6 separate regions of the Mus musculus genome follow, and all the other regions are reported to be linked to region 1. Evidence: microRNA targets listed by miRTarBase, many of them from high-throughput screens and not tested one by one. Region 1 holds a microRNA gene; each other region holds the end of a gene's coding sequence.

Evidence for each region. Region 1 holds the annotated microRNA mmu-miR-343 (UCUCCCUUCAUGUGCCCAGA, at 3,480-3,499, opposite strand). A microRNA usually pairs through its seed, bases 2 to 8, with sites in the 3' UTR of a target mRNA and lowers its output. Matches are read on the target gene's strand: a 7mer-m8 pairs with bases 2 to 8, a 7mer-A1 pairs with bases 2 to 7 and ends in A, and an 8mer does both.
Region 2: miRTarBase lists Fam81a as a target of mmu-miR-343. Seed matches in the 3' UTR shown: 7mer-A1 at 3,241-3,247.
Region 3: miRTarBase lists 5730409E04Rik as a target of mmu-miR-343. Seed matches in the 3' UTR shown: 7mer-m8 at 1,409-1,415, 7mer-m8 at 1,705-1,711, 7mer-m8 at 1,741-1,747 and 7mer-m8 at 2,545-2,551.
Region 4: the mRNA of Ncl is a reported target of mmu-miR-343. Seed matches in the 3' UTR shown: 7mer-A1 at 3,674-3,680.
Region 5: miRTarBase lists Sri as a target of mmu-miR-343. Seed matches in the 3' UTR shown: 8mer at 1,608-1,615 and 7mer-A1 at 1,639-1,645.
Region 6: the mRNA of Sdc4 is a reported target of mmu-miR-343. Seed matches in the 3' UTR shown: 7mer-A1 at 567-573.

What each region holds. Positions count from the first base shown.
Region 1 is chr7:19,385,115-19,390,186 of GRCm38, reverse strand. It overlaps Mir343 (microRNA 343), which reads right to left and starts at 3,544; the gene lies at 3,470-3,544. It overlaps Ercc2 (excision repair cross-complementing rodent repair deficiency, complementation group 2), which reads right to left. Exons shown (of 23, transcript NM_007949.5): 6 at 4,448-4,564; 7 at 4,241-4,357; 8 at 3,357-3,480; 9 at 3,159-3,255; 10 at 2,941-3,074; 11 at 2,690-2,858; 12 at 1,929-2,047; 13 at 11-80.
Region 2 is chr9:70,086,225-70,091,296 of GRCm38, forward strand. Fam81a (family with sequence similarity 81, member A) reads right to left here. Exons shown (of 9, transcript NM_029784.2): 9 at 3,086-4,667. The coding sequence ends at 4,543. Among named protein-coding and RNA genes, the nearest start is that of Gm39369, 5.7 kb to the left of the region's middle.
Region 3 is chr4:126,611,812-126,616,883 of GRCm38, forward strand. 5730409E04Rik (RIKEN cDNA 5730409E04Rik gene) reads left to right here. Exons shown (of 2, transcript NM_001145950.1): 2 at 1-2,560. The coding sequence ends at 562. It overlaps Gm40250 (a long non-coding RNA gene), which reads right to left and starts at 2,974. Exons shown (of 2, transcript XR_868150.2): 1 at 2,846-2,974; 2 at 2,556-2,651. It overlaps Gm46870 (a long non-coding RNA gene), which reads right to left. Exons shown (of 3, transcript XR_001784444.2): 3 at 4,522-4,650.
Region 4 is chr1:86,346,410-86,351,481 of GRCm38, forward strand. It overlaps Ncl (nucleolin), which reads right to left. Exons shown (of 14, transcript NM_010880.3): 12 at 4,958-5,072; 13 at 4,403-4,626; 14 at 1-4,287. The coding sequence ends at 4,211. Snora75 (small nucleolar RNA, H/ACA box 75) reads right to left here and starts at 4,876; the gene lies at 4,761-4,876.
Region 5 is chr5:8,067,133-8,072,204 of GRCm38, forward strand. Sri (sorcin) reads left to right here. Exons shown (of 8, transcript NM_001080974.2): 8 at 401-2,182. The coding sequence ends at 427. Among named protein-coding and RNA genes, the nearest start is that of Sri, 13 kb to the left of the region's middle.
Region 6 is chr2:164,421,390-164,426,461 of GRCm38, reverse strand. It overlaps Sdc4 (syndecan 4), which reads left to right. Exons shown (of 5, transcript NM_011521.2): 5 at 225-2,215. The coding sequence ends at 376. Among named protein-coding and RNA genes, the nearest start is that of Matn4, 19 kb to the right of the region's middle.

The DNA.
Region 1 (5,072 bases):
TGCATCTCACCTGAAGTGCAGAACGGGGTTGGCGATGGTGGGGGTCCTGTCGTCAAAGGGCTCAATGATAATGGTGAAGCCTGGTGGAGGGAGAGGCCGGGGAGTCTCAGTCACTCATCACCCCGGGACAGAACTGCCCCAGCCTGCCCACTTCTGCAAACCCTCAGGTGCAGAAGCAGTGAGCTGTGGCTTCATACATGGTCCCGCAGGTAGCCAAGCCCGCCATTCCCCAGGCACCTCTGTCCTCCAGGCTCTCACTCCTGTCCCCGCAGAGCAACCAGAGACATGTCATGGAACCCCAAGTTTGCCAGTTTCCACACTTCCCATGACCCCAGAAGGGTGTCATGCACTCTCCCAGGCTGAAGAGCAAGATTTGCCTGCTTTCCTCCCTCCCATTCCTCACCGTGCCTCTCTGCCACCAACACAGGCTAAGTAGAGGCAGGGAAGAGGGCCGCTCCTGAGGGAAGCAGCAATGGCTTTGGCAGTAAGAGGCTGGTAACCAGGTGGACCTGGCCTTGGGTGCCTTCCTGACTGGCTTTTTTTGTTGTTGTTGTTGGTTTTTTTCTGTTGCCAGCACAGGGTACCATGACTGGGATAACACTTCACAACCAAGGACAAGAAAAACAAGGATAGTTCATATTCCAGAGTCCCACTGTGAGACACCTGAGGGCCCCCTTGCCCTGAGCTGCTGTGCCAGCTTCCACTTGGCTGAATCCCTGCCCCAGAGGACAGTGCCATGGCTCCTTGCAGCACCGCTCCACTTCCCAGGGTCACCTGGAACCATCTTTGCTCCTCATTCTCCCCCAGGCTGTGACTCCGGGAAGGGGAGGATGAGGCTGTTTCAGTAGTGCTGGGCCTGGCCCCATTTGCTAACTGAACAAATGAATACATTCATGGGTTCTGTTTCACTTGGCAAAAATGATCGGGTCTTACGTGTCCAGCCCTTGCCAAGGACACAGCAGTGACCAACACAGCCTCAGTCCCACCCATAAGAGCTCCCTTGTACTAGGGGAGACAGCTATCCAGAGAGTAATGATCCCAGGCGCAGCTGGAATAGAGAAGGGGCAGGCCTCGCATAGGGTGGGCTGGGTGCCTTTCTGAAAGCTGAAGGACTCAGGCAGGTGATAGGAGGCGTAGACAAGGAGGCTTCTACCGATTGTGATGTTGTAGGTGGGGGAGGAGGAAGAGACAAAGGCCAAAGAAAGGGGCATGGTGAGTGCTGAAAGCTTAAGGAAGCAGGCAGCTGCCAACAGCCTGCAGTGGGGCTGATGGGGGGGGCCTCCTCCTTCCGAGGCCCAGGCTGGCCCAGCTGCAGGATGCCAGCTGACCTGGTTTCCTGGCTACGGCAGTAATCCCCAGGGATAAGCCTGAAAACTCAGTGTGGAGCTGGGGGGGTGGGGGGGTGGGGCAGCACACAACACATGGACAGAGGAAACATGACAGATGGACCCAAGTGACGGACCCAGAAGGTCCTGGGAGGCAGGCCTCTGTGGATCATCAGTCTGTATCTGCCTCCCTTGAGAGCTTCATGCCCAGCGCCATGCTTTTCCATCCTGGCCTCTTCCTCCCATAGTTCTCCCCAGCACACTCTCCTGTCCCCATTGTCCACAGTTCTGCATCTTCCTGCTACATGAACCTCGAAAGCAACAATCTCACCAAGTGCATCCCTTGCCCAGAACCTGCCATGGTTCCCTGGTGCCCTCAGTCACACACGAGGACTCCTCACCCCACTGATGGTGAGGTGACCCCTAGTGTCCTTCTGGTCAGTGCCACAGCACAGCCCACACACTTGTTCTCTGAACACGAGAATCTGACCACGAGGCTCCTCACTCAGGCACTCTGTATGGTCTTGCCCCCTGCTAATGCCCCACCCATGTGGCTGACCCCCAAGTCCTGCTGTCAGATCCCCAGTAGAAAGGCGAGCTCACCCTTGGCGTAAGTGCTGACGAGAGTGGCGAAGTTAGCAAGGAGTGTGAGCGGGGAGAAGTCGGCCAGGTCGGCAATCTCCAGGGTGTGCAGCAGGGAGCGCAGGCGTTCAGCACAGAACCTGAGAGGCAACGGGGTCAGGAGCGGGAAGCAGCAACAGGCCCGACTCTCACCATGTTTCCCTGGGCACCTGGGCATTGTGTGAAGCTACCCCATACTGTAGAAGACCCCCAGAGCTACCACTCCAGGCTGGAGCACAGCACATACAGTGCACAGGCTCACTGCTCACACGCAATATCCTGTTAAGACTCCCGGCTAGAGCCCGGCGTGGTGGCGCACGCCTTTAATCCCAGCACTCGGGAGGCAGAGGCAGGCGGATTTCTGAGTTCGAAGCCAGCCTGGTCTACAAAGTGAGTTCCAGGACAGCCAGGGCTACACAGAGAAACCCTGTCTCAAAAAACCAAACCAAAAAAAAAAAAAAAAAGACTCCCAGCTAGCAGTCACTCTGTTTCTGTCCAGCCAGTGTCACGGGCCCAACGCTCAAGGAGGAATAGCCACATACTTTCTTAGCCTCACAAAGGCTGTGTCACCTGCTCATCACCCAACATAGGGACACGTGGCTGCGGCACTCACTGCCAACCACACAGTCCAATGGATGCCCTCCACATCCAGTTCTGACCTGCCCCTTAGCCTTATCTATGGTCCAGACCCCTTTATCATCAGCAACAAGGCTTGGGCCCGTGGTTCCCCGTGCAGGCCGCACCTGAGGGGCTTGCGCTGGATGCACACCCGCTGGGCCAGGCCGCTCAGAAAGGCAGGTGGACTCTCCTGCACCACATGCTGCACGCGCAGACGCCACTTGACATACTCCAGCAGCCGCCGCAGAAAGCCCAGGAAGTGCTCAGCCGTACGGATGGAGCCAGGCACAGCCTCTGCAGGGAGACCCAGTCAGGTGGTACAGGGGTGCGTGTGCGGGGCAGGGGCTGGGTGGTGGGGGAGTGGGGAGTAGCTCACCCTGCAGCACCTCGTCCGGCAGCACAGGGTTGGCCAGGTGGGCATCTGTCTCCCGGGCCACACTGGCCTCCCGCAGGCCCTCCACCAGGCGCCGGTACTCATCCCGCAGCCGCTGCTCATCCGTCTCCTTGATCCTGATGGGGACATGGGACAGGAGCTGGAATGAGGCAGGTGCCCAGGGCACTGAGGCACACACAACAGTGGGAGCAGACAGGCACCTGAGCACGGTCTTCTGTAGGGTGTCTAAGTTGCTCTGGCAACGGTCCAGAGTCCTGCGGGTGAGGTTGACACTCATGGAGTCAATGCAGACATTGTCTGAGGAAAGAGCAAAGGGATGAAAGCCGGGCTCAGGCAGGCCTGGGGGCAGAGGCAGAGGGCTGCCACTGTCTGCACACCCTGATGCCCGCCCTCCTCACCGATGTTGTGAGCTTCATCGAAGACCACAACAGCCTTGCGAGCCAGCTCTTTGGATACCAGGTCTGCGATCTTGGGGTCCAGGAGGTAGTGGTAGCTGTAAACCACCACGTTGGCATGCAGGATCTGGGCACATGAAGGGAGAGGTTGCCCTGGGCTCTGCTACCCCCGCCACACCCACTCTATCCCAGGTACACAGAGGTGCCACAAAGACAGACACAACGACGGGTGGAAAGATGGACAGGACTGTTAGCCTTTTGTCTAAGCTCCACCTCACAGTTACACGGCAATAGCCAGGTGTGCCTGAATCACTATAAAAGGGGCTTCTTGCCCCCCCCCCCTTGCTTTCTTGCTTTGCTCTGCCTTCCTGCCCCTGCTCTATCCTCTAGTCCCTTCCCCCATCTCTCTCCATGTGCTCATGGGCAACCCCCCCCTCCCTCCCTCCCCCGCCTTTCTCTGCCTCTACTATCCTCTTGACACCCTTCCCCATGCCCTGAATAAACCCTATTCTATACTATACTGTCGTGTGGTGGCTGGTCCCTCAGGGGTAAGGGACGCCTCAGCATGAGCCTGCAGAGGCACCCCTTTCCCCACACCTCCATAGAACATATCTCCCCCTTTATCTTTTTATAAACACATCAAGGACCACCCAGGCAAGGCACAAGAAAGCAGAGATACTAGGACGGAGACAGACGATCCAGACAACAGACATAAAGACGTAACAGCACAGAGTCAAGTAGACAGATGGGCCAGCAGAAGGATGGGCACGGTGGCTCATGCCTATACCCCTGACAGCTGAGAACCTGAGGCAGGGTTATTCCAAGTTTGAGGCCAGCTGGGCTACAAATGAGATCCTGCCTCATAAGGAAACAAAACAACTCTTCACCGAGTATCGAGCCAGGAAGTAGGGGCACCAGCCCTGGCGCTGCCCTAGGGCCTTCAGGTCATCCAGGTTGTAGATGCCCGCAGGGAGCGGCATCTGGCGTCCATGGATGTCAAATTCCTGGGGCAAGGCCAGAGGGTGGCAGGGTCAGGGAGAGCGGCTCTGGCGTGGCCCCCACCCTGCTCACCAGTTCTAGGCTCTTCCCTGTACCTCATAGAAGCGGCAGTGAGGCAGGCTGGCATCCTGCTGGTACTGTGCCCGCACATACGACGCCGTTAGGCTGTGACACTTCCCATCAACATCCTTCCCAAAGCGCAGTGGAGTCACCTGAGGGGGCGGGGTGTCAGGGGACAACATAAAACAGAGACAGGAAGTGGTGCATATCAGCTATTGTAACTTGGGTCTCCAAACTCAGACACCAGGAGTAGTACGTCAGCTAGGGTTTGGGGGCAGTGGAAACCTTCACCTGATTTGGTATTTGGTCTTTTGTTCGTTTGGTTTTTGGTGTTTAAAGACAGAGTTTCTCAGTATAATAGCCCTGGCTGTCCTGGACTCATTTTATAGATCAGGCTGGCCTTGAACTCACAGAGATCTGCCTGCCTCTGCCTCCCGAGTACTGGGATTAAAGGCATGCACCACCACAACTGGCTGATTTGCTATTTGCTAAAAGAACTTCCTGCAGTACTGTAAGTGTGGAGCATGGCTAAAATCATCCCATCAGAGCTGGACATGGCAGCAGGTGCCTGCAATCCCAGTCACTCCGACACTGAAGTAGGAGGAATACAAACACAGGTCAACCTGGGAACCTGGCAACCCACCAAACAAAAGGTGGAAA
Region 2 (5,072 bases), not on the chromosome of region 1:
CAGCAGGTCTGTGCAGCATGATTGATGATGGATGTGGGAGGTTCCTGCTTACTGTGGGTAGAGCCACCCCACCCCTCCGCAGAGTTCCCAGGCTGTATAAAAGAGCAAGCGGGGCAAACTGCTGGAAGCAAGCCAGTAAGCAGCACCTCTCCCTTGGGGGTCTCTGCTTCAGTTCCTGTCCTGATTTCCTTGGGCCATGGAGCACGACCTGAGAGTTGTAAGCTGACACAAACCCTTTCCTCACCACCACATCGTTTATGGCCGTGGTGTTTTACCACATCGTTGCTCAGCGTTGTTCAAGCTTGCTTCTGCAGTTCAGGATCATTTGTGTTTCCGTGTGGATTTTGTATTTTTTTCTACTTCTGTTTAGAATAACATAGGAACTTTGATGGAAATTGCGTTGAATCAATAAGCTGTTTTGTAGCACGACTTCTTTCAATTTTTTTTTTTTTTTTTTTTTTTTTTTTTTTTTGGTTTTTCGTGACAGGGTTTCTCTGTATAGCCCTGGCTGTCCTGGAACTCACTTTGTAGACCAGGCTGGCCTCGAACTCAGAAATCCGCCTGCTTCTGCCTCCCAAGTGCTGAAATTAAAGGCATGCACCACCACGCCCGGAGACTTCTTTCAAATCTTAAGTCTGCCAATTCATGAACATGGGAGATCTTTATACCTTCTAGTATCTTCTTTGATGTTCTACCAAAAGGAGTTATATCCCTTATCTTTGGCATAAAAGATATATAGCTACCGAGCTGGAGAGATGGCTCAGCGGTTAAGAGCACTTCCAGAGGACCTGGGTTCAATCCCCAGCACCTACATAGCAGCTCACAACTGTCTGTAACGCCAAGATCTGACAGCCTCACACAGACACACACAAAGGCAAAATACCAGTGCAGATAAAAATAGATAAATTATAATAAATAAATAAGAGACGTGGCCACCTGTGGTGCCTATTAGCATAGCAAACCTCATGCTGGTTTCCAAGCAGCTCTTGGAGTCTTTAGTGTCACAGTCCCTGTTATACATTTCAAAGTTCAGGCTCCCATGCCAGTCCTTCTCACCTCCTCCTGGACCCTCCCTCCCTCCAGTTCATGGCTTCCCTCCCCAGATCCTCTGTTCTCCCTAGAACTCTGCAATTCTTGCTATGCTTTTTCTCTGTGTTCAGCTCCTGCCTCTCACACTCTGTTCTCTCTGGTTCTCTGGTCTCTTACGGTCTTCCCTCTCTCACAGAACCCTGGTCCTGTCCGTTCTACTCCTTTCTCTCTGATCTAGATTTTTCCAGATGCCTGTGGCTGGCCTCATCTCATATCCACAACAAAAGCCTTCCCCTTAGCCGAGCCAAGGAGTGGTCTAGTCATCAGTGTATATAAAACCCATAGTGGGAGGAGACAGCTGGCTCCTGCAGGTTTCCTCTGACCTCTGTATGTGCACTGTGGCACCCCCCACATGCATACAATTATGTGTGTATACACACACGATACATAAAATGTAATTTAAAACAATAACAAGCACAGTGCCTCGCCCCTCTAATCCCAGCCCTTGAGAAATAGAGGCAGGGGGATTAGGGGTGCAAGGGCATTCTCATCCACATAGTGAGTTCAAGGTCAATGTCGGCTATGTGAGAATGTCTTTAAAAAAATAAGCGAAATGAGCAAGGATGGTCAGACAGAGGCTGGGGGTGATGGCCTGTCAGATAGAAAAGCCAGGATGCATAATCGGGTGCTTCCTAGAGTCGGGCTTCCTACTTATGAGCAGTAGGATTTGAGGTAAGTTGTGCCATTTTTCCGTGACTGTAAAATGACGGACAATGGTATATACTAGACACTGTTAAACAAAATGAGTGAGCACACAGAAGCATCTCAGCGAGGGGCTGTGGGGATGGTGGGCAGCTAGCATCACTTGATCTTCCAGAGAGCAGGTGTTTAGTTCCTAGCACGCATGTCAAGTGATTCACCACCATCTGTAACTCCAGCTCCAACGGATCCGATGCCCTCTCCTGACCTCCGTGAGCCAATGTTCACGTATGTATCACACGTGCACACACGTATACTCACGCATACACATATGTACACGCACACACCCAATGGGATTTTAAAAAATTTTTAAAAAGAGCCTCAACACAGACTTAAAAAGGTCCTTGGCACATAGCCATCCAGGAACTGCTCACTGGCGCGACTCCAGAGGCAGCCTCGAGAAAATCAAGCAGTACGTCCCCTAAGGCAGCTGGCCTGCCAAGGTTTTCTTCCCACACTCAAAGATTCTTCGCATTTAAAAGTCCCATGCCACACTTATTTGGAAATTTTATTCTCTTTATTGCAAATCTCTGGTAAAGGAAAAGACAGGGCAGCTGATTCTCCTTTAAACTTTGGCGAGAAGAGTACTCCATTGTCTTCGCAGGATGGCTGGCCTCCCCATAGCACACAGAATCGCTGGGGGTGGGGGGGTGGGGGGGATTCGGGATAGGGCTGTGACACATACTGGTTGGTGCTGGTGACTGCCTCCCAGATGCTCTGACTTAATGGGTCAGGAGGTTGTTTGGTGTCAGTTGCTCTTTAAACTCCCCAAGTGACCCCAAGCAGCCAGGGTGGAGGGTCCCTGCCACAGTGTCTTGTCACATGGTCGGCAACGTCTCGAATACCTGGCGGTATCACCAGCAGCTGTGTCACCTGCTTACATCACCTGCTAGGCCAGGGTCAGCAGGTGTCCCCTGTCTCCTCCTCCCAAGTGTCCTGTGTGCTCACCCTTCCCCCTTAGAGTCCCCAGGGGAGAGAGACACTGAGGAGGTGTGGCCCTGTCCTGAGTGAGATTTGTGCTTAATCACTCGATAAAACATGGCTAGCCGAGCACACAGGGAAAGAAGAAACCACACTGTCTGGTCACGAAGCATCGCTGACTTCTCCTAGGTGGGCAGATCCTCCTGCATGGAGACGAAACGATGTGTGGGGAGATGAAGAAATGCAGGATGGGTACATGTTCCTCACATAACCTCTCATGCATCCAAACTCAAATCAAAGTTTTCAAGGTCCCAAGAGTAGAATATTAGGTACTTTAGCAGCATATCTTACATGGGTCAACAGTAAGAGCCAGGTAGAATCTCAGTGTGGTTTATTCTAGAAATAGAAAATGCTTTTGATTTTCCTGAGTCCTTGCACATGAGAGAGGAAAGGAAAGGATGGGGTGTTGTTCTTGGAACTTTTAAATGCTCCTGTTCTCTCTCTCTCTCTCTCTCTCTCTCTCTCTCTCTCTCTCCCTCTCTCTCTCTGTGCCCTCACTTTAACACAGAAGTGCAAATGGCACAGGCTCAAGTCTTCAATGACTCAAACATGGCAACTGAAAATAAAACGCCTGCAAAGGTGCCGGGACACCCGTCTCCTCGCAGTATTACAAATGTAGTCTCGCTTTGCCTCTCTGTCCATACAAAGGTGTGTGCAGCTATTCCATGAAGGATGCTGAGTGCGGCCCACCATGACAGCGATGAAATCATTAGGATGCTTAAAATTACATAGGATCTCAGTCTTACACCACAACCCTGATGTGTTTACCACACTGTCTATTTTGTGGGTAATTTCTTTTTTTTTTTTACAGAGGACAGTACAGCGACGTAAGAAAAAAAACCAAGGCACAAGATAGACAGTTACAACAAATGTCTATAAACCCTAGCACGTAGTGCCTGTTTAGGGAACATTTAGGTAAATCGTAAAGTCTGAAAAATTCTAACATTCATTACAACTGATGAACAATTAGCTGTTCGATAAACAGGTTGCTTAGCCACCATCCCATTATTAAATATATGGCTATCACTACACAGGTTGTGAGTGGTTTCAAAAATAGCTTTAAATAGTAAAAGCCGGTACCCCTAGGTGGATATAAATATCGTGCCTTGTGGGATCTAGATAAACGTTGTAAGTTTCTACTTAATTTATAATCTGTATGGCAATTATCAATTTTAAAAAACTATTTTCATTATATAAATTGCAGGGCTTTTTTTTTTCTCTCCCAGTGTTAAACTTCTTCTCTACAAAAGACAGGTGATTTACAAAAAAAAAAAAAAAAAAAAAACCCAACATTTAAAAAAAAAAAACCATATAGACAACAAAAATACAATCCAGATGTGGACTTAAAGCTGAACTCTACCAGGACTTCTCTTAATGTAGGGTGAGGGGCAATACATACCTGTAGCAACTCATTCACTTTTTAATCAAAAGAAAAATCACCATGGTGGGTTTTTTTTTTTTTTCCAAAATAGTAGTCTTGGCTAGAGCATCAAGCATTGAAAATAAATTCTTTTCATTCATAAAAGCCTTTCAAAATCTGAGGGAATCGGGCTCAACTGCACTTAGGGAAATAACGTTGTAAAAATTGTATTTACGATTTTAAGTAAAGGGTGTTTTCAAGACTGAAGGTAAACGCTTAGACCCATGAGAGCGCATTTCTTGGCACATGCACACCCTGGATGGGATCCGGAACATAGCCACGATGTGGCTGCAGAGCCATCTGGCTCTTAGCCCCACGTGCAGTCTCCTGTCAGGTCCTTGTCCCAGCCGTCTTCACATGGCGGTCTCTGGCTTCTGCATCTGCTGGATCTGCTTCTGAAGTTGGTCCCTGTCCAGCTTCATCTTGGCCTCCAGCACTTGTCTGAGGGACCCTATGCTCTCATAGATGGCTGAGAACCCTTGAGGAAGAGGCAAAGGTCACAGGAGTTAACAGCTAAGAAGCAGTGTCTGACCACCTTCTACAGCAATAGTGCCGATTGGTTCTGACCGATACTGAGCCCTTGGGTCAGTGCTGCATGGGAACCTCCATGAAAATTGTGTTTTAGACGCAAAGGGCTCTACTGCAGTCAAGAAAGACAGTAGATGCAGATTTAACCAAGTGACCAAAGCTCACACCACTATCACCAGGAGAAATCACAGCATGTATCTGCTGATCAGATGGCCGGAGCAGGGCGTCTGTCCATCCCGCCGTTCCAGGTTATATCATAAGAAAGTAATCAAACTGCACCTGGGGAACTTTCTGTAAAACACTGCCCTGTAGTCTAAAAATACCAGGTTCAGGGGCTTCTGTGAGTCAAGAGAGC
Region 3 (5,072 bases), not on the chromosome of region 1:
TAAGAACTGGCATGGTGTGCCAGGCAAAGTGGATCCTATTCTGATAAGGAGCTCCTCTGAGTCACCCTCTGATAACCAGGTCTTCCAAGCCACCAGGCTCCCTGAGGCCGGAGTCCGCAGTCCCCCGGAGGGTGCGGAGATCCCTGGTGCTGAGCCAGAGAAGTTGAGCGGTGCCAGCAGTGTCTGCTCTCCTCTGGAGGACATTGGCTATGCCAGCAGTTCCTTGAGCATCGACAGCTTCAGCAGCAGTCCAGAACCTGTCTGCGATACCCCTCGAGGTCCGAGCCCTCTGGATCCCCTTCTGCCCTCCGTGGCCCAGGCCGTGCAGCAGCTGCAGGCTCAGGAGCGCTACAAAGAACAGGAGAAGGAGAAACACCACGCGCATTTGGTGATGTATCGGCGCTTGGCGCTGCTCCAGTGGATCCGGGCTCTGCAGCACCAGTTGGTCGACCAGCAGGCCCGACTGCAAGAGAGCTTTGACACCATCCTGGACAACCGGAAGGAGCTTATCCGCTGTCTGCAACAGAGGGAAGCACCTTGCAGGCACCAGGACCAGGGCTAAGGGTGTGCACAAGTGTGTGTGCACAAGTGTGTGTGTGCACAAGTGTGTGCATTTGCAGGCTTTTGAGTGGTTATACACAAGGAAGGATGTGAGTATTAGCTGGCATGTATGCAAGTAAGCATAAGTGAATATCTATATGCTAACATGTAAGCAGGTATGTAAGGCATGTGTGTTTATGTATGCATGTGTGGCTAGGTACCCAGGAATGTGTATATATATTCCTGAATGTAGAGACAAAAGATATATATGCATGTGTATCAGTTTATATGTACAGGCTTGTGTTGGGTGTGTGTTGAGACTTACACGTTCCAGTGCTGGCATAAGAAACATGTGCTAGGAATGTGTGTGTTTGCAGAGACTTAAGGGCAGGTGTGTGTAAATGTATGTTCAATTGCACCTGCAGGGCGTCCACCCATCTCCTGTGTTCCCAAAGTCTACCCCAGCCTTATATTCTACTGAGTCTCACCTCCCAGCTTCCTAGAGATAGAAGCCTCTCCCACTGTCATAGATCTGAGGGCTGTGGCCTGTTCTCCTGTTCTGAGGGCTGTGGCTGACCTGTTCTCCTGCAGTTTCCCAGGCTACCTTTCCTATCCCTTCCCCTCCAACCTTGCTCTAAGACCACTGTCCCTAATGTTGGCTTGTTCCTAAGAGTTTTTTTTTTTTTTTTAATTTGGGGTGGTTGCTTTTTGTTTATTTTGCTTATTACTGTACAAGGAATTGAGCCCAGAGCCCTGTGCATGCTAGGCAAATGTCCTACCACTGAGCTGCACACCTAGCCCCGGTTCAGAGATTTATTGGCTGCACTGGCCTTCCTGTGCACAGGACAATTTGTGGAGAATTGGTCTCAAGGGAGGGAACTGGCACAGTGGCGGAGGCTGCAGCAGGGGTGGGAGTGGAGATAAAGAAAGATATAAGAAACTGTCCTCTTAGCTGGGTTCTGGTGGTGCACATCTTTAATCCCAGCACTCAAGAGGCTGAGGCAACTGGAACTCTGAGTTCCAGAACAGCCTGGGCTACAGAGTGAGTTCAAGGACAGCCAGGCTACATATAGAAACCCAAAAGAAAGAAAGAGGAGAGAGAAAGAGAGAGAGAGAGAGAGAGAGAGAGAGAGAGAGAGAGAGAGAGAGAGAGAGAGAGAGAGAAAGGGAGGGAGGGAGGAAGGAAGGAAGGAAGGAAGGAAGGGAGGGAGGGAGGGAGGGAGGGAGGGAGGGAGGGTGGGTGTGTTGTTTTGAACCCTGTCTGGCTCCTCTGTGGGAGGTGGCGGTGGGAGAGAATGACTCTGGTAGAACTCTGTGAAGAACAGGAGAATTCCCAAAACACCATCCTGCTCCACTGTGAGGAGAGGCCGAAAGCCATACTGAGTTAAGTCTGTAGAATGGGACTGTGCATATAAGCATGCAGATCATGGGCCAGATGCACCAAGGCCACGGGCAGTTGGGGGACCTCCCTTCTCTTCACCTTTCCCTCCTCTGCCTACGTCGCTTTAGCAGCAGTGAATGTCAGATTGGTTTGGTTCATTTTTCAGAATCGGACTTTCTGGAGAAGCCAGAGCTCAGCTTTCTAAGCAGTCAGAGGACAGGGTCAGTCCAGCTTCCCGAAGCTCTTAGGACATGCGGCCCCTTTGAACAGGGATTGGCAGGCCCTAGGGAAGGCTTCATGCTGTGAGGTTGAATGTGTATTGGGTAGGTCAGTAGTTAAGGTTCTGGAGCCCTTTGTTTTGTTTCTGGGTGTCAAGGTAAGGCAGGATCCTAGTGGGTGAAGCAATGACTCAAAGGAGGAGCAGCAGCAGGTGACAGGGACAGCACCTGTGCTGTGTCTGGCCTCAGTCTCCCCATCTGCAAAGTGGGGACCCTTCCCGCACCATCTCCAAACAGTTCTATCCTTGATGGGAGGGTAGGTGAATTGTGAGCCCTGGGGACTTTTATAGTACTTGCATGTTGAATGTGAATCTGGCCTCTGGGCCGATGCAGCATAAATAAACTAAGGGAGCAAATTCAATTGTTCCAGGATATGTTTTTGTTCTATCTGTTGCCTGGTGGTCTCTTTCACAATGAGTTCCACTTTTAAGCTGGAGCCAAATGCTCGAAGCCTAGGGATTATGGGGACAAGAAAAGCAGAAATCAATCAATCAATCAATCAATAAAAGAAAAGCAGGATTTTCCCAGCAGTGTCAGGGCCTCCCAGGCCGACAGTGGAGATTTGGCCCCTGCTGTAATAGCACCACAGGGGATTGCCCTTGTCCTGAGTCACACTTGTATTTGAACAGATTTGGAAGGCACATACCATAGATCCCTGTCCTGAAGGGTGCCTTGACTGCAAAAGGCCAAGGGTCATACTGGATTTGGTGGCCCAGGTCTTTAATCTCAGTGCTTGACAGGCGGATCTCTTGAGTTCGATGCCAACCTGGTCTACAGCGAGTACCAGGACAGCCAAGGCTATACAAAGAAACTCTGGGCACTGGAAAAAAAATGGCTCCAAGTTTAAGAGCATGGTTGCTCTTCCAGAGGACCCTCCCTGGTTCAACTCTCAGCACCTACATGGAAGCACACAACTGTCAGAATTCTCAGTCCCAGAAAACCCAACACCGGCATATAGACATACATGTGAGCAAAACACCATTCCATGGGGGTTGTGTGATGGGGAGGGGGGACCCTGTCTCCAAAACAAAACAAAACAAAACAAAAAACACGGGGTCCTTACATGGCTCTGACACAGACGTAGTTTTATTTTACCTCATTGTCATACTACAGACTGAACCCAGAACCTGCATATGTGAGACTCAGCCCGATGAGCTGTGCCCCAGCCATAATTTTTAATCCATGCCCGACTGAGATATCAGCTGATAGCAATTTAGATGATCATCTTCTACTATGGTTTATATGATTATTTCTTAAGTATTCAAAACTTCAGGCACTTTAGTTCATGTTTACATGAAGCAGCAAAGTACTTATTTAGCATGTGCACGGCGGCCCCCAGGTTCAGTGCAAAAATAAAAATTAGCATAAATTTCAGGCTCAGGAGTAAATATCTAGTAATGCCAGCACTTGGGAGGTGGAGGCAGGAAGATCAGGAATTCAAAGCCATCCTTGCCTACACAGCCCCTTTGCCTGCTGAACTACCTCATCAGCCCTATACCTAACATCTTTACAGAAAAAGCAATTTTTTTTTTCAGTAAGGAAGTTGAATCTAAAAATTGGATCTTTTTCTTTTAAAACTGGGAGGAGGTCTATAAAAAAGCAAAGTTGTCCAATGTGCACCCCAGCACGCCTTTAATCCCAGCACTGGAGAAACAGAGCTATAGGGGCTCTGTGAGAAAGAGCACAGCTTGGTCTACACAGCAAGTTCCACGACAGCCAGGGCTTCCCAAGTGAGACCCTTACCAGAAAAACATACACATAAACACACACACACAAACAAACAAACAGAAGTTGGAGCATCTCAACCTGGCAGTTTGTAATCTCAGCTTGGGAGGTTGGGGCAGGAGGATCAGAAGTTTAAGACCAGCCTGGAGTTGGAGTCAGAGTGAGTTCGAACTGTTCCTTTCTGTGAAGAGTTCTCTGGGGCTGTGAGATGCCTCTGTGTAGGTAGGGAGGAGCTCTTGGAGCCAGGACTGATGACGTGTTGGATTCCCCAGGCCCTATGTGGTGGAACAAGAAAACCTAATTCCCACAAGATGGTTTCTGATCTCTTCTACATATGGTACACGTGCCCACAACTCATGCACATACATCAACAAACAATTGTTAAAAACCATAAAAACTTTGAAGAGTTCTTTGAAGGCTGAGGGGTGGTTAGCATGAGAGAGATGCTGGGTTTGAGCCCCAGTTCAGGGTGGGGAGGGTATAAAGTGGGAGCTAGGGGGCCATCTTAGTTAGGGTTTTGTTGCTGTGAAGAGACACCATGACCAAGGCAACTCTTATAAATGCAAACATTTAATTGGGACTGCCTTACAGGTTCAGAGGTTCGGTCCATTATCATCATAGCAGGAAGCATGGCAGTGTGCAGGTAGACACGGTGCTGGAGGAGCCAAGAGTCCTACATCTTGATCTGGAGGAGCCAGGAGACTCTCCTTCCATACTGGGTGGAGCCTGAGGATACACATCAGACCTCAAAGCCCTGCCTCCACAGCGATAGACTTCCTCTAACAAGGCCACACCTCCTCCCATAAGGCCAGACTTCCTTAAGTGCTACTTCCTGTGAGCCAAACCTACTCAAAACAGCACCTTGAGCTGAGCATAAGGTGAGAACCAGGCTGACGAAACCATGAGGTACAGGACTTTACTAGGCATTTGGGTCTAGGGATATGCCCAGTGACTAGGGTGGAGGGAGATTTGAAAAGACGACTGGCCAAAGCCCCAACCACTTAGGGGCCAGAAGGCAGGACCCCAGTGGCTGAACCAACCAAATCCAGGATTGTAGTTCCCCATCAGGTGTGAGGAGCATAGTCGAAGTTCACACCTGATGAGTAGCTGGGGCTACTCCATACCTCATATTGGGCAGGCCTGGGGTA
Region 4 (5,072 bases), not on the chromosome of region 1:
TGCATGTAAACAGCCAGTGTTTAATCACTGAAACTCCTCACTTTCAATTTGGTTGGCTCAAGAAAATACACAGCTGGTATTCTCAGGATAAACACATTACCTGGCTTTAAAGTAAATCTCATCATATTCTATGAAAAACAGAAACTCAGATTTTGCTAGCTACTTAAGAATGCCAGTACAAAATGTACTTGAATTAGCACATGGCTGGCCTCTAAATATGGGTCAATGTCCAGTTTAGACATGCAATGAAAGAGAAACAACTCTTCATAATCCTAACAAGTACTCAACCATAACTCCTGTTAAAACTACAAATAAGGGGCGACTTAAGGGCACTGGTCACTCTTCCAGGGGACCCAAGTTCAATTCCCAGCACCCACATAGCAGCTCACAACTGTTTGTAACATGGTGGGTCTGACTCCTCACACACATAAAGACCAAATACTAATGCACATAAAAAAATTTACAAATGACTTCAATGATTGTAGATGTATAGGAATTTGCAGGAAAAGAATTTAAATGACAAAATGGGGGCTTCATAAACTGGAAACCTAGAAGAGAAAGGAAACACTTGAAGGGCTAGAGAGATGACTCAGCTGTTAAGAGTCCAGAAAACACAAGTTTGATTCACAGTACCCACATGGTGGTTCACAAGAACTTGAAGGCGGCTGGTGAGATGGCTCAGTAGTTCAGAGCACTGACTGCTCTTTCAGAGGTCATGAGTTCAATCCCCAGTAATCACATGGTGGCTCTCAATAATCTGTAATGGGATTCTATGCCCTCTTCTGGTGTGTCTGAAGACAGCTACAGTGTACTCATATACATAAAATAAAAATCTTTAAAAAAAAAAAAAAGGTTGGAAGATCCACCCTCTTCTGGCCTCCTGTGGCATTGCATGCACATGGAGAAATACAGACACTATACCCACACACACAAATTAAAAAAAAACTAAAGACACCTGAAAGCTTCACTAAAGGGCCTAACAGAAGAATCAGTGAACTAGAATCCAAAACAATAGAATGTATCCAAATTAATATTCAAAGAGAAAAAAACTAGTTTCAATGCCAGTATCTGGTTATCTAAGAGTCCAGTAGAGAATAAAACTGAAAGGCCGTATTTGAAAAATAATGGGTGAGAATTCAGTTAGAACCTAAGAGTACTGTGGTTGTACATACTTGCAGTCTCAGCACTTCGAGTTGAAGCAAATTAATTTCAAAGACAATCAGGGATACACAATAAAACCTTATTCAAAATAAGTACTTCCCTTCCCTCCCCAATAAACCCTTGTTTTTTTTTTGTTTCTCTGTATAGCTCTGGCTGTCCTGGAACTTACTCTATAGACCCAGCTGGCCTTGAACTCAGAAATCCACCTGCCTGTCTCCCAAGTGCTGGGATTAAAGGCAGTGTCACCACTGCCCAGCCAGAATTTTTTTCAAAGGGTTAAAAAATGGGCCTCAGCCTATCATCCTTCTGATAGTAGTGTGTTTCTATAATGGAGCCTGACATGGTGGCACAGGCCTTTAATGCAACACTCAAGAGGCAGACATCTTGAGGTCAGCCTAGTCTACCTATTGAGTTCCATGATGGCCACAGAGCTAAAGACCCTGTCTCAAAAAAAAAAAAAAAAAAAAGACGGTGGTCTTTAAGATTTACCAGCGAGAACCTGATGACCAGGACCCCTGAAACCCAGATAAGGCCACTGAAATGGCATGCATTGCTAATCCCATTCGTATTGCCAGAAGTACTTGAAAGCTTGTAGTGAGTAAGAAAATAAGAGACCCTGCTTCAAAAGGTAGAAATATCCCACAAGCACACACAGGTTAAGTGGCCTATAAGTCCTCACTGTTGAGTATTTCTTGGAATCAGTTCCATCCTCTCCATCACTTATCATTTAGTAGGCACTTAATGGAGGACAGCAACCAAAACTTGTTTTACTACTAGAACCTTGAGAGCCCTTTTATTCTATGGCAAAGGGTTTTACCACTAACTGAATGAAATTAGCCTGTTATAGATGGTAATCCTAAGGCTATAGATCCAGCTTAGAAGTAAAGAGTACATGCTCCTCTTCCATTTCCCCTTCCTTTCTACCTCAGTATAGGGTCAAGACCTACACCCTTAGCATCTGCCTATGTTCCTTAAGAGTTGAAAAGGTTCAGGCAGATTGAACTGAAAACTACATTAGGTAACTCCTATCACTAGCATCCGTAGGAAAAAAGCCACACTGAAGGGGTAGTGTATAGTCAAAAGCAGGTGATAAATGGTCAGGAGTGAATCTTTTTGTTTTTTGAGGCAGGGTTTCTCTGTGTAGCCCTGGCTGTCCTAGAACTCACTCTGTAGACCTAGGCTGGCCTCGAACTCACTCAGAAAATCACTTGCCTCTGCCTCCCAAGTGCTGGGACTAAAGGCGTGCGCCACCACGCCCAGCTGAAGTGAATCTTTCAAATGAGAAAGCTTTGTTGCTCTTTAAAAGACCTCTACAAGCTACTCTACCACCAGAATAAGAGCTTTGTGTTTATCTATTAGGTGAAGGCAGATTAACTGCCTTCCCTCCACCCTTTCTTCAGTTCTCATGTTGCCACCTGCTGGAAGAATGAGAAAAGAAAGCAAACAACCATTTCCAGAAAGGTTTGCTGCTTTTCTAAAATGTCTGCCTCGTTTAGGGAGAGCTATTCAACTGTAAATCTTCTGATGATCCTATAGGTTAACTATGTCCTCAATCCACAAAAAAATGATGTCTGCTAGCACCAGAGTTGAACCTTTCCTTTGCTATTGTAGTCTTGGGGGTCTTCTGTGTAGCACTGGCTATTCTGGAATTCCTTAGCCTCAAATTGGTCTGCCTTCTAGGATTAATGACAGCTGAGTGCCTTCAGCTACATGCCATTAATCTTTAACAAGGAGGTTAACATAATCAAGGGCTCCACTCCCCACAGCAAAAGAACCCACCAAACTGTTCCCTGCTACACAAATCTAATGCCCACGCCATCCTCACTTTTAGACAGGACTGCGACTGCAATGGTCATACCACATACTCAAGCCACCAGACAGGTGCTAAGCGCAACCCTACAGAGGGTCTTTGGTTGAGAATAGCTGACTGGTCTTTCTTGAAAATCAGTTTGTTGGGAGTGGGACTTGGAAAAACACCTACAGGAAAGTTTCTATTAAGGTTATCTAGGCACCCATGCCTTATACAAAACAAACAAAAAACAAAAAAACCAAACATCCTTGATAGATCACTGAAAAATTCATTAAGTACACAGGCCAAGGGCCACTGTATTATCCCTAGTTAAACTGGACCTCTGACAACCTTTAAGTCAAAAAGGCCACTGTTCCCTCTGTTGGAACTTACAAACCTTGTTTCCCAAAGCTTCTCTCAAATTTGACAGGTCTTGTTTTTTTTTTCAAGACAAAGTTTCTAAGTATCCCTCACTATCCAGCAACTCAGTTCTGCAGACCCAACTGGCATTGAAGTCATAGACTGCTTTAGCCTCCCATGGGATTGGATTACGTCACTCCCAGCTTGCTGCTGAGACTTGGTACTCAGTGGCTAAAACTCTGTATTTGGTTGTCTGTGAGGTTTTTTTTTCTTGTTTTTTCAAGACAGGGTTTTTTCTCTAATAAACAGCCCTGGCTGTTCTGGAACTCTCTGTACACCAGATCAAACTCAGATCTACCAGCCTCTCCCTCCCAAGTGCTGGGGTTAAAGGCATGTGCAACCATCCTGGCTATGTGAATTTTTCAACCCAATGGGGTACCATTCCTTGTCCAGGTCATTTCAGATTGCACTGTACTGTTTGTTCTTATTATGCTGGGAATAGAATTACATACCACACAAGCTCTTGTATGGTATTTCCAGCACTGATCCATGTGCTCTATCAACCACTTTTCCAGTACACACCCTTCTAAGATACAAATTAAATCTTCCAGATCAGAATCATGATGAAGCTGTTCCCCACCAATTTCCACATTTGTAGCTGGGAATTCTTGAAAGCAGTAGGAACACAACTGAAATTCCCACTGGGCAGAGTTGGTCTTGCCAAGCTCTTAAGCAACAATCCAAATGTAACCTCTAGGAAGTATTAAGTCTGGCAACAGAGTTTAGGATCTTTACTGTCTTGGAATGTCCTTAGAAGGCTCTGTCATTGAACAGGTAACAGAGTAAAAACCCCAGAGTCCTTTCTTTAAAATGAAGAGGGAAAGAATGGGATGGAAGGAACTATTCAAACTTCGTCTTCTTTCCTTGTGGCTTGAAGTCTCCCCCTCCTCCTCTGCCGCCTCGGAAGCCTCCTCTACCTATAGGAAGGAAAAACATCAAAGGGTGATACAATTAGGACTGACCTTCCCATTTAAGGTGGTTGGTTAGGACACAGGTTTAGGAATCCGTTTCCAGTTCCTTTCCCTTCCTTACCTCCAAAGCCTCCCCGGCCTCTTCCTCCAAATCCACCTCTTCCACCTCTGCCTCCACCTCTGCCTCCGAAACCTCCTCTGCCTCCACCTCGACCACCAAAGCCACCTTCACCCTTAGGTTTGGCCCAGTCCAAGGTAACTTTGTTTCCGTCAATTTCTCCATCTTCCATGGCCTCCTTGGCAGCTTTGGCATCTTCCTCACTATTAAAGTCTACAAAACCAAACCTAAAACAGAAAAGAAAAACAAAAAAACCTCACCCATTAAGTAAACACATTTTAAAGTAACACAATAAGTACCAAGTCACCCAAGTAGAGTGACCAAAGTACTCTTCAGGTCGAGAAAATCGCCAGTATCTCATAATGTCTCACACAACAGCCAAATATACTTCTGCAAAAACAGAAGATAAGTGCCAGTTCTGTGAATTCTCTCTTCTTCTCGTGCGAATCCATAATCTATCACTGATGGACAGAAAGGAGCTCAATGAGAAGATACTGCAGACCCAAGTTCTCCATGCAGAATTCACTAAAAAGCAGCAACACTACTACGCCTTCTTACCCTTTGGAAGAACCAGTTTCCCGATCAGTGACTATTCTTGCACGAACAGAGCCCTCAAATGATTCTTTTAAGGTCTCTTCAGTGGTATCCTCAGACAGACCTTTGACAAACAGAG
Region 5 (5,072 bases), not on the chromosome of region 1:
ATTCCTCCTTCCCATAATGTGAGAAACTTGTCAGACTTTACAAAAGAAAGTTTCCCTAAAAGTAAGAACCTTCCCACCCTTCATTTAGGCATGACGTAGAAAGTTGGGACTTGTGTTGTTCTTGTTTACCCTTGATGCCAACATAGAGAATTAAAATGGAAGCTGCCCACAGGGAGGCTGTGGCACCTCACAAGCTGTGGCACTACAGAGGCTGTGACACCACAGAGGCTATGGCACCTCAGAGGCTGGGACACCACAGAGGCTGTGGCACCACAGAGGCTGTGACATCACGAGGCTCTGGCACCTCAGGCTATGGTATCTCACAGGCTATGGCACCTCAGAGGCTATGGCACCCTCAGTACCTTGCAGACCGTAGTGTAACACTGGTTTTCTTTCTCAGTTCATCCAGTGTGTCATGACCGTCTAACTCAAGAGCAAACTGTCTGAATATATTCAACATTCCAACTGGAACTCGCCCTTGCTTCCTCTCTGCCTTCAGTGCTGTGTGCAGACCCCACCGACAGCCACTCCCTGACAACCGTTGAACGGGATTATGACTTTATATAGAGCCACAGCTTCATTTTTCATTTTGATAATAAATTCCTTTGAAGTTTAATGATATAAAAACAAGTCTGTTATACCAGTCAGAACCTCCTGAGCCATTATCAATCATGCCTTATTTTCCTGCTAACCCTCTTTTATATAAAGTATGCAAAATGTTTAACATATATTACATATTTTCTTGTGATATATGAAATTTTTTCATCTTAGCTGTTATTGTTTCTTTCCCTGAGGAATGTGGTTAAAGTTTGTGTGGGGTATTCTTAAGTGGCATACATCCACAGTTGGGCAAAACAAACCAATGAACCTGGCAGTCCACATACTAGAAAGTATAAGTTTTACGACTTACTTGTTGAAAGCCTTATGACTTAGAGATATTGAATGGTTACTGTCTGCCTCCTAAAAACCTATAGATCATGAGGGGCAAATACTGTCACCAAGTTCTTCTTTGCCATCTACCCCAAACTTTTGTTAATTATACTTAAAGATCTTGAATACTGTCAGCTTAAATTGTCAGAAAAAGACTAAAGTGAAGTAAGAATATATTAACTGTTTATTTTTGACTAATAAGATTCTAGATGACTTTAATTTCCTTTATATATTTCTGTATCTCCCAAATTTTTAATAATGTGCATGCTTTCATTTTACAACCAGATGTCAGGGGAGGAGAGACAGCTCAGCAATACTCATGTACTGCTCTTATGGAGGACTAAAGTCCCCAGCGCCCATGTTGGGTGGCTTACTACTGCCTCGGGCCCCATGGTCACCTTCATTTCACCTGCAGATATCCCAGTGCAAACATGCATGCACACACACAATTAAAAAGTAATAAAGAATAAGTAAAACCAAGCAGGTTTCATTTTAAAAATTGTTGGCATTCATTTTTGAATGTCATTTGCTCATGATCTTTAACACAAGAAAGGAACTGAAATGAACATCTTAATTAATGATCTGCCTTTAACTACAGGGAGTAGGGTCTTCCTTCCAACTCAATTTCCAAGTATTCTCTAATAGCGTATTAGGTTTTACACAAACACACACACACAAAGGGAGAGAAAGAGATGGGGAAAGGAGGGGAGGGAGAGAGAAAGAGGAGAGAGAGAGAGAGAGAGAGAGAGAGAGAGAGAGAGAGAGAGAGAGAGAGAGAGAGAGAGAGAATTTTTTCCAAATGTTTAATCATTTGGCTTGCTGGAAATGCCTTGCTATGTATGTGCCTTGGACATTTTAGGCAATGACAGTACACTCAGGTCCCTATCTTTGAAAAGAGAAGACTAATTACCATTAAAGTAGTTCTGAGTATGCAAAGGTATATTTGAGTAAAAAGCATCCCCAGGGTTTTGTTGTTACAGTTTGGCAGCTAACAATGGTTAAGTCTTCTCTCGCTAGCAATGTATCTGTCTTGTTTCTGGCACAATGTGAATCTGACCATCCAAGTAAACGATTCACTTACAACTGGTGAAATAAACATTCCATAAGCATCTTCATCCTCGTTTCACAAATATATGTTCAGATAGTGTTTATATATATATATAAAATATATGCATATATTATATATTCAGTCACTTCATGAGTATTTATTCATTGCTAACTTACTATGTGTTTAGTTAATACTTAATGCTCAGGTTACATGTCAAAGTGGAATGCTTTCTGATGTGTCTTACAGTGGTAAACCTGAGATTCATTTCAGATTTTTTAAAAAATTCTTTCTTTCTTTATTTTTTTATAGTCTAGTGTTTATCCACCTCCCAGTCTGCCCTGTGATGGTTCCTCATCCCATACCTCATTCCTGCGCCCACCCCCCCCCTTGTCTCCAAAAGGATGTCCCTACCCCCCAACCCCTACCCCACCAGACCTCCCCAGTCCCTAGCGCCTCTAGTCTCTTGAGGGTTAGGTGCATCTTCTCTGACTGAACCTAGACCTGGCAGTCCTCTGCTGTAGATGTGTTGGGGGCCTCATGTCAGCTGGTGTATGCTGCCTGGTTGGTGGTCCAGTGTCTGAGAGATCTCAGGGTTCCAGGTTAATTGAGACTGCTGGTCCTTCTACAGGGTCACCTTCCTCTTCAGCTTCTTCCAGCCTTCCCCTAATTCAACTACAGGGGTCCCCACCTTCTGTCCATTGGTTGGGTTTATGTATCTGCATTTGACTCTTTCAGCTGCTTGTTGGGCCTCTGGGAGGACAGTCATGCTAGGCTCCTGTTTGTAAGCACACAATAGCATCAGTAATAGTGTCAGTCCTTGGTGGCCTCCCCTTGAGCTGGATCCCAATTTGGGCCTGTCACTGGACCTCCTTTCCCTCAGTCTCTTCTCCATTTCCATCCCTGCAGTTCTTTCATACAGGAACAATTCTGGATCAGAGCTTTTTACTGTGGGATGGCAACCCCATCCCTCCACTTAATGTTGTCTTTCTACTGGAGGTGGACTCTACAAGTTCCCTCTCCCCTCTGTAGGGCATTTCATCCAAGGTCCTTCCCTTTTGAATCCTGAGAGTCTCTCACCTCCGAGGTCTCTTGCACATTCTAGAGGGTCCCTGCAACCTCCTACCTCTTGTCTGTTTCCATTCTTTCTGCTGGCCCTTAGGACTTCAGTCTTGTCTTCCTTCCACCACCACCCTCCCTGTAATACCTCATCATGTTCCCCTTTTCTCCTCTCTATTCCCTTTCCCACCCAAGTCCCTCCCTCCCTCTGACCCATCCCCCAACAATGATTGCTTTTTTTCTCTCTCCTAAGTGGGATTGGGGCATCCTCACTTGGGCCCTTCAGCTTGTTAACCTTCTTGAGTCCTGTGGACTGTATCCTGGGTATTCTGAGCTTTTTTCTTTCTTTTTCTTTCCTTCTTTCTTCTTTTTCTCTTTCTCTTTCTTTTTCTCTTTCTCTCTCTCTCTCTCTCTCTTTCTTTCTTTCTTTCTTTTTTTTTTGGCTAAAATCCACTTATTAGTGAGTACATACCATGCATGTCCTTTTGGGTCTCAGTTACCCCAGTCAGAATGATTATTTTCTAGTTCCATCCATTTGCCTACAAAATTCATGATGTCCTTGTTCTTAATAGCTGAGTAGTATGCCATTGGGTAAATGAACCACATTTTCTGTATCTATTATTCTGTTATGGGACATCTGGGTCGATGTTTTATTTGAACTGTCACAAAGCTTTGTTCTGACCTGGGCCCATGCTGCCCAGAAAAGGACCTAGGGTTCCCAGAAAATGAAGAGCCTGGAACTGTCCTATAAAACCCTAATACTTAAGCTGCCCTGTCATTTGAATAAGCCCCAAGATGTGCTACTTAGATTTCAGTTCTGAATTTGCTTCCAGGTACATCCTCAGGTATTATATACTGTGCTTTATTATTCACGTTCTAACAGTCAATGGTTAAAGGCAAGTGTCCAGGCATCCTCTCTTTTCGTTTTCATTTCTCCAGCAAGCACTGGATCTACTCTTCATTTTGCCCGTGTAGTTAGGAAATTCCCTCCCCCGTGATGAATGCAGTATACCCTTCCCTCTCATTGGATGCCATCATACTTCATTGCTATAGATGCTCGTCCTGTGTTGCTTATTTCTGATGTCGGTTTGCTCCATTCTCTGCTTCCCGGGCAGTGCCTCCCGTCTTTCTCCTTTCCTCTTGCTCTCACTGTCTGGTACCTGTGTCTGCCACCCAGCCTGGCCTCATCCCCACTGCTGTCCTTCTCCTTTAGCTTCTTGAGTGCTGGGATTCTAAGGAGGAGCCACCACACCAGGCCTTATCGTCTCTTTTGAATTCCTTTTTCAGTTTTTCCTTTTCAGTTAGAGCATACAACTGGAGCATGGTGAATCTGTGGGATCGCACACCCCATTTGGGGATTGTTTTATTTTGGAGATGCACGCTTTAGTTTTATCACATCGGGTGATTACATGGTTTGTAAAGAACTTTTAGCACATTGCAGACTTCTATAGCAATGTAGCAGGTAGAGGCCTGGAGCATCCTAGCAACTGCTGCCAGACATTTGCACCACACAGTCAGGAGATTAAAAGGCTCTAGCTCTTCTCGTGATAGCGTGTTATGCAATGGTAACATCAGCCCTGAGGTGACACGTCAGTTATGTCAGCTAAGCCTTTTGGTTTTCTCCAGATTGCTTTGCATTGCTGTTTCAGGGTCGGTACAAATAATTATATGACTAAAGTATTTTAGAAACAAGGAATGGAGCTACATGCAATCACCAATTTTTAGTATTATAATAAACACATGCAGTCACTAACTTTTAATATTATAATAAATGTATGGGCTTTTTTCAGTGATTTCATGACTTCACCTATGCAGACCAAAGGACAAGGAACTGTAAATGCTACTGTAATGACTGATAACTCAAATGGCTGATTGGGACAAGCTAAAAAGACCAGGGGTAACCGGTTTCAGACAGTGAACCCATGAACCTAAAACAAACCCATCAAAGACTCAGGCAAGAGGCAGTAGAGGTACAGCCCTGGGCTGTGGGGCAAAACCTAGAGCCAAACTTCATGAGGGCAAGAGAATTCAGGAGACA
Region 6 (5,072 bases), not on the chromosome of region 1:
CTTTGGGCTAGGGCAGCAGATGTGGGATGAAATAGTGGTGTTGGTCCACTCTAGCTGTGATCTTAGTCTTTCCTCTCTGACGGAAGTCATGAAGGTCGATGCTAATGAGGTGTCCTCTTGCTTGGTCTAGGGGGTGTGGTTATGGTGAGATTGACTGGCGGTGGGCGGGGCTGAGGAGCACATGGACCTGGAGCCAGCTCACCCCTTGCTCTCTCCTACTGCAGCTCTGATCGTGGGCGGCGTGGTAGGCATCCTCTTTGCCGTTTTCCTGATCCTGCTGCTGGTGTACCGCATGAAGAAGAAGGACGAAGGCAGTTACGACTTGGGCAAGAAACCCATCTACAAAAAAGCCCCCACCAATGAGTTCTACGCATGAAGCTTCCTCCCGCGAGCGCTGCTTGGACTTATTGGGGAGAGGAGTGGAGGGTTGTGGGTGGCGGGCGTTGGCAGAGAGCAGCAGGCACCTTAATGCTGACTTGTCAGTATCTCCATCTCTAGTCACCTTTCTGGTGTCAGAAGAGATGTGATCTTCTACTGTGCTGCCTGAGAGAGAGAGAGAGAGAGAGAGGGAGAGAGAGAGAGAGAGAGAGAGGCTGTGTCTGTGTGTCTGTGTCTCAGTTGCTCTGGCAGAAAAATGGGGTTAAACTTGCCCTTTCTGAAGGCAAGCCTAGAATTGGGTCTTTTGTTGTCATTGTTCCAAATTTCCAGAATAGAATATAGGACCAGTTTAGATCCTGTAGTAAACATGTCCCATCTATGACTGCCTTGATTATAGAGGCAAGGGGTTACTGTGTGAATCCCGGCTCCCTTCCACATGCTGTACACCCTATCCATCTGTCAGGAGCTGGGGCAAGGAGCCAGAACCCTCTGCGCCTTGAGATGAGTCTGCCATGAGAACTTGCTCACGCTGCAGAGTCTCTGTGGCGTACCTGGGGGCATTCTAAGTCCAGTGACTTTTGAAATTCAACCTTTTTTTAAAAAAAAAAAATCTAGGGAGGGCGGGGTGAAGTGCTGAAAGCTCACACTGAAGTGTGTTTGTAGGAGATTCATAAAACTAAGTTTTTAAATGGTTCATTCCTTTATGGGAGCGTCTGCGCCTGGGCTGAGTGTGGGGGATACACAGATGTTCTATCTAGAACATTTCCATTGCAACAGCTAAGTTTGTGTTTCGTGGTTTTTTTATGTTTTGTTTGTTTTTTGAAAATGAGAGAAGAGTTGGAGATATGATTTTTATGATTTTTTTTTGTTTTTTACTATTTATAGCTTCAGACAGGGCTGCTTTTCATCTTTCTATTGTCCCCCATGTTTTTTTTTTTTTTTTTTTTTTAATGCTCCGTGTCCTTGTTTTTGACCTTGGCCCTTCCTGAAGTTGCTTTATCTTACGAAGTAGCTACAGGGTTCTAGCAGTTTCCAGAATATAATGTAGGGGGATAGCGGGATATTTTTGTTTGTGTTCTTGTAATATATTATCCTTCCTTGGTTCTAGAAGAATAGATAAATATATTTTTTTAGGCTATAGAATGATATTACAGGTCCCATGTTGGCTGGATGGTTGCGTGAGTTTTCGTGTGGCTGAAGAGGCTGCTGCCCTCTTACCTTGCCCTGTTCCCGGTGCCTTCTTGCGAATGAGCTAGAGTAGTTTAGGGTCCCTGACTCGAACCCTCACTGTGCCTTCTGCCGGGGAGGAGGGGCTCCTGGGCCTGCTTCCTCCAGGCGCTCTAGATGCACAATCCAATACAGTGGCCTCGTGTGGCTGTATAACTCGGTTCACTTCAGACTACGTGATTGGAAGTCATTCCTCGGTTGCACTAGCCACACAAAATGCTCAGTCACCATCCCCCGGGCACCGAGGGTTAAGCTGGTTTAGCAGGTCATTGCTCAGCTTTGCTTGTCTCCCTGGGCAAGGGAAGGGGACCAGGAGAAAGGTGATGAGGCCCCAGGGACTCCTGTCATCTGGTACTCTCCCTCTTACAGAGGAGAGAGCTAGTGGCTTAAAAGGCCTGGGGTGGTGGGGAGATCACACCACTCTCAACCATACTCTGTTCCTGTGAGGCCCCCATCACCACCTCCGTGCAGGGTCCTAGCTGGCTGGGTCCTCTTCTAGCCTTGGTGCCTGCTCCTTTTCTGCACCATTCACACTGTTGTCTGTTACTGATCTTTTTTTTTTTTTTTTTTGATAAAAAGATAATAAAACCTGGTACTTTCTAGATTGTCAGCCTGTCAGTTTTATTTTTGGTTTCTCAAAACAGGGTTTCTCTGTGTAGCCCTGGCTGTCCTGAAAAGCATTCTGTAGATCAGGTGAACCTAGAACTCAAGAGGCTGACCTGCCTCTACCTCGATTAAAGAGGTGTGCCATCACACCCGATGCCATTATAAGATTTTGGGTTTCTTTTTAAGCTTTATTTTTATTTTATGTGTATGAGTATTCTACCTGCATGTACACCTGCGTGCCAGAAGAGGGCGTCAGACCCCATTACTGATGGTTATGAGCCACCATGTGGTTGCTGGGAATTGAATGCAGGTCCTCCATGAGGAGCAGCCAGTGCTCTTAACCACTGAGGCTTCACTCCAGCCCATTTTAAAGGGTTTTTTTTACAAGCCATTCATTCTGTATCCCTTGAACTCAATGAAGCCAGAGGGAGACCTTTTGGGGTGCCAGACACGGGCACAGACACGAGACAGCAGTAGGGCTTTGGAGGTAGGAGAGATGCCAGAAAATGTGCCCGTTGCTCTGGGCAGCACATCCTGTCTCTCCCCATTTTAATTAAGCAACACTAGGTTTAAAAACAAACACAGGCCACAGAGTCCCTCGGGCCTTTGGGATGGCTCAGAGTCTTAAGAGCACTTGTCACGCCAGCCTGAGGCCTCCAGTGTAAGTCCTGGACACAACGGGAGAGAAGCAGCTGCTGACGTCACACTCCGACTGCCACAAGTGAACCGTGGGGGCCACACACACTTGGACACACGTGGACACACACGCTACTTAATAAATCAAAATAGGAAAAAATAACCCTCAGTTGAGTCCCTGTGTGTAGAAATCGTAGTACTTCTCATAAAAGCCTTAGAGCTGGAAGACAAATCGACTTTGCCAGCTGTCAAGACTGTACTATAACCAGACATGGCTGAGAGGAAACAAGGCCCCAGACTGGCTCTTTCGTGACACAGTTCCTGCCTATTTCCGTGTCACCTGCCTGGTCTCTGTGGGCTGTGCTATAGTTGTCACACTTGAGAGTCTCATAAGCAGTAAAGGGCCTGTTGCCAAGGATCCCACCTGTCCTCAGCTTATCTTTGCAGAGTGGAGCCTCGATTTGTGGCCCGTTGACCTTGGTGACTTGGGTTTGGCACCATGTGGCCCCATGGGAAGAAGCAGCCAGAGGACTTAACTACACCAGCCAGGAACTTGGTGTTTCATGGTTGGGCCTGTTAGCACAGCTGCAGGAAACAGTCGTTAGAAATGGGACAAACTTCATCTGAAAGGTTAAAAGAACGTGTCCAAATCGATCGTTCACCAGTGGCGGAGGTAGGATTTGAATCCACATAGTGAGGGCCTATCAGAGGGTTTCCATTGCTCACAGTCCCTTCACTGTGGGGGTGGTCGGCCTTCACAGCACCTGGTCTCATATCTCTCTAGGGACCCTAAGTTCTGTTTCCTCGAGTCCCTTGGGTGAGTTTCTGGCTCTCGTAGTTCACCGCTTTTCCTGTAGCGTGAACTCTGAATGGGCTAGACCTGCTCAGTTTGCACAGCAGCCACCAGCCACCATGGCTCTTTAACATGTAAAAATGGAGTTGCTCAACAGCTACGTGTAGCTCATGGCTCCGGGATGGAGTGGGCACAGGATGTCCACCGTGTAAGGACTTTAATGATACCTGCATTTAGACTTCAGACGCCATCGGCTGTTGCCTTCCTTTCCCATAGTCTGCAGTGGGGAAGGCCAGAGGTTGACTGTGTGCCAAGTGGCACTTCTTTGGGTAAGATATTAGCGTCAAAAATGTTGGTTAGCTCTTCCTATGGAAACATTGTCCTTAAATTTAGGGCCTTACAATGACAAACATCTCTCATGGTTCCCATGTGTCACAAACACAGGAGCAGCAGAGGTGTCTCATGCAGTATTACACAGTCGTCATCCAGTTATGGGCTACGTTATAGACATCTGGAGGGCTGACTGGGCAGGAGGCTCTATTTCCAACTGAGAGAGTGCGTTCACAGGTCTGGAAACTTGGCTCTAGCTGTCTGGCAGGAGGTCTCAGTTGCTCACCTCACGGATTAACGTAGAAATGTGTGTCCTCGTGACGTGACCTGGCTTCCCAGAGTCAGTGATCCGAGAGAGCCAGGTAGAAGCTACAGGGCCTTTTAGGTTTTAGCTTTGGAAGCCACACACTTTCCCCTGCATAACATCAGTCAGTCAGGAATACAGGTCTGTCCTGTTGACTACCACAGAAAACAGCACAAAGGCAGGAATGTTAGGAGAGGCAAGGCTGACTGGAAGCTCTGCTAGTCATATTTCCTGACTGACCAAACATCTGAGAGAAAGGCATGGGGATATATTTTGACTTGAGGCAATCTGTCCTTATCTGACTCTGTGTTTCTGGGCCCTGGATGAAACAAAAACACGGCACAAAGGCGTGTTGGGGCAAAGTTACCTCATGGTATGCAGTAAGCAGGGAGAGACAAGGAATTGGGGACAAGCGTAACTAATTTTTAGGGCACACCTGTAGTAACCTCCTTTCTCAAACTAGGCCGCACCTCTCCCGTGCACCACCTCCGAAGGACGCTATATTATAGATCCATCAACGAAGGCATTAATCCAGTCATTTCCCCCGAACTCTTGGCAAGCAAGCCTCGGTGAGGTGGGCACTTCATATCCAAATCAAAATAGAAACCATCCCACAGGTTGTGACTGTACACTTTGTCACCTGTCAATCCGACACTGGGGTTGTCTGGCAGGCGAACACTGATGTCATTTCTGAGAAGTGAACAGGATTATTGTATTGATCCACTCTTACCCCATGATCTGCCAAACTCCAGAAACCTTTGGAGCACTGACCAAGGCCTTGTCTTAGTCAGGGCTTCT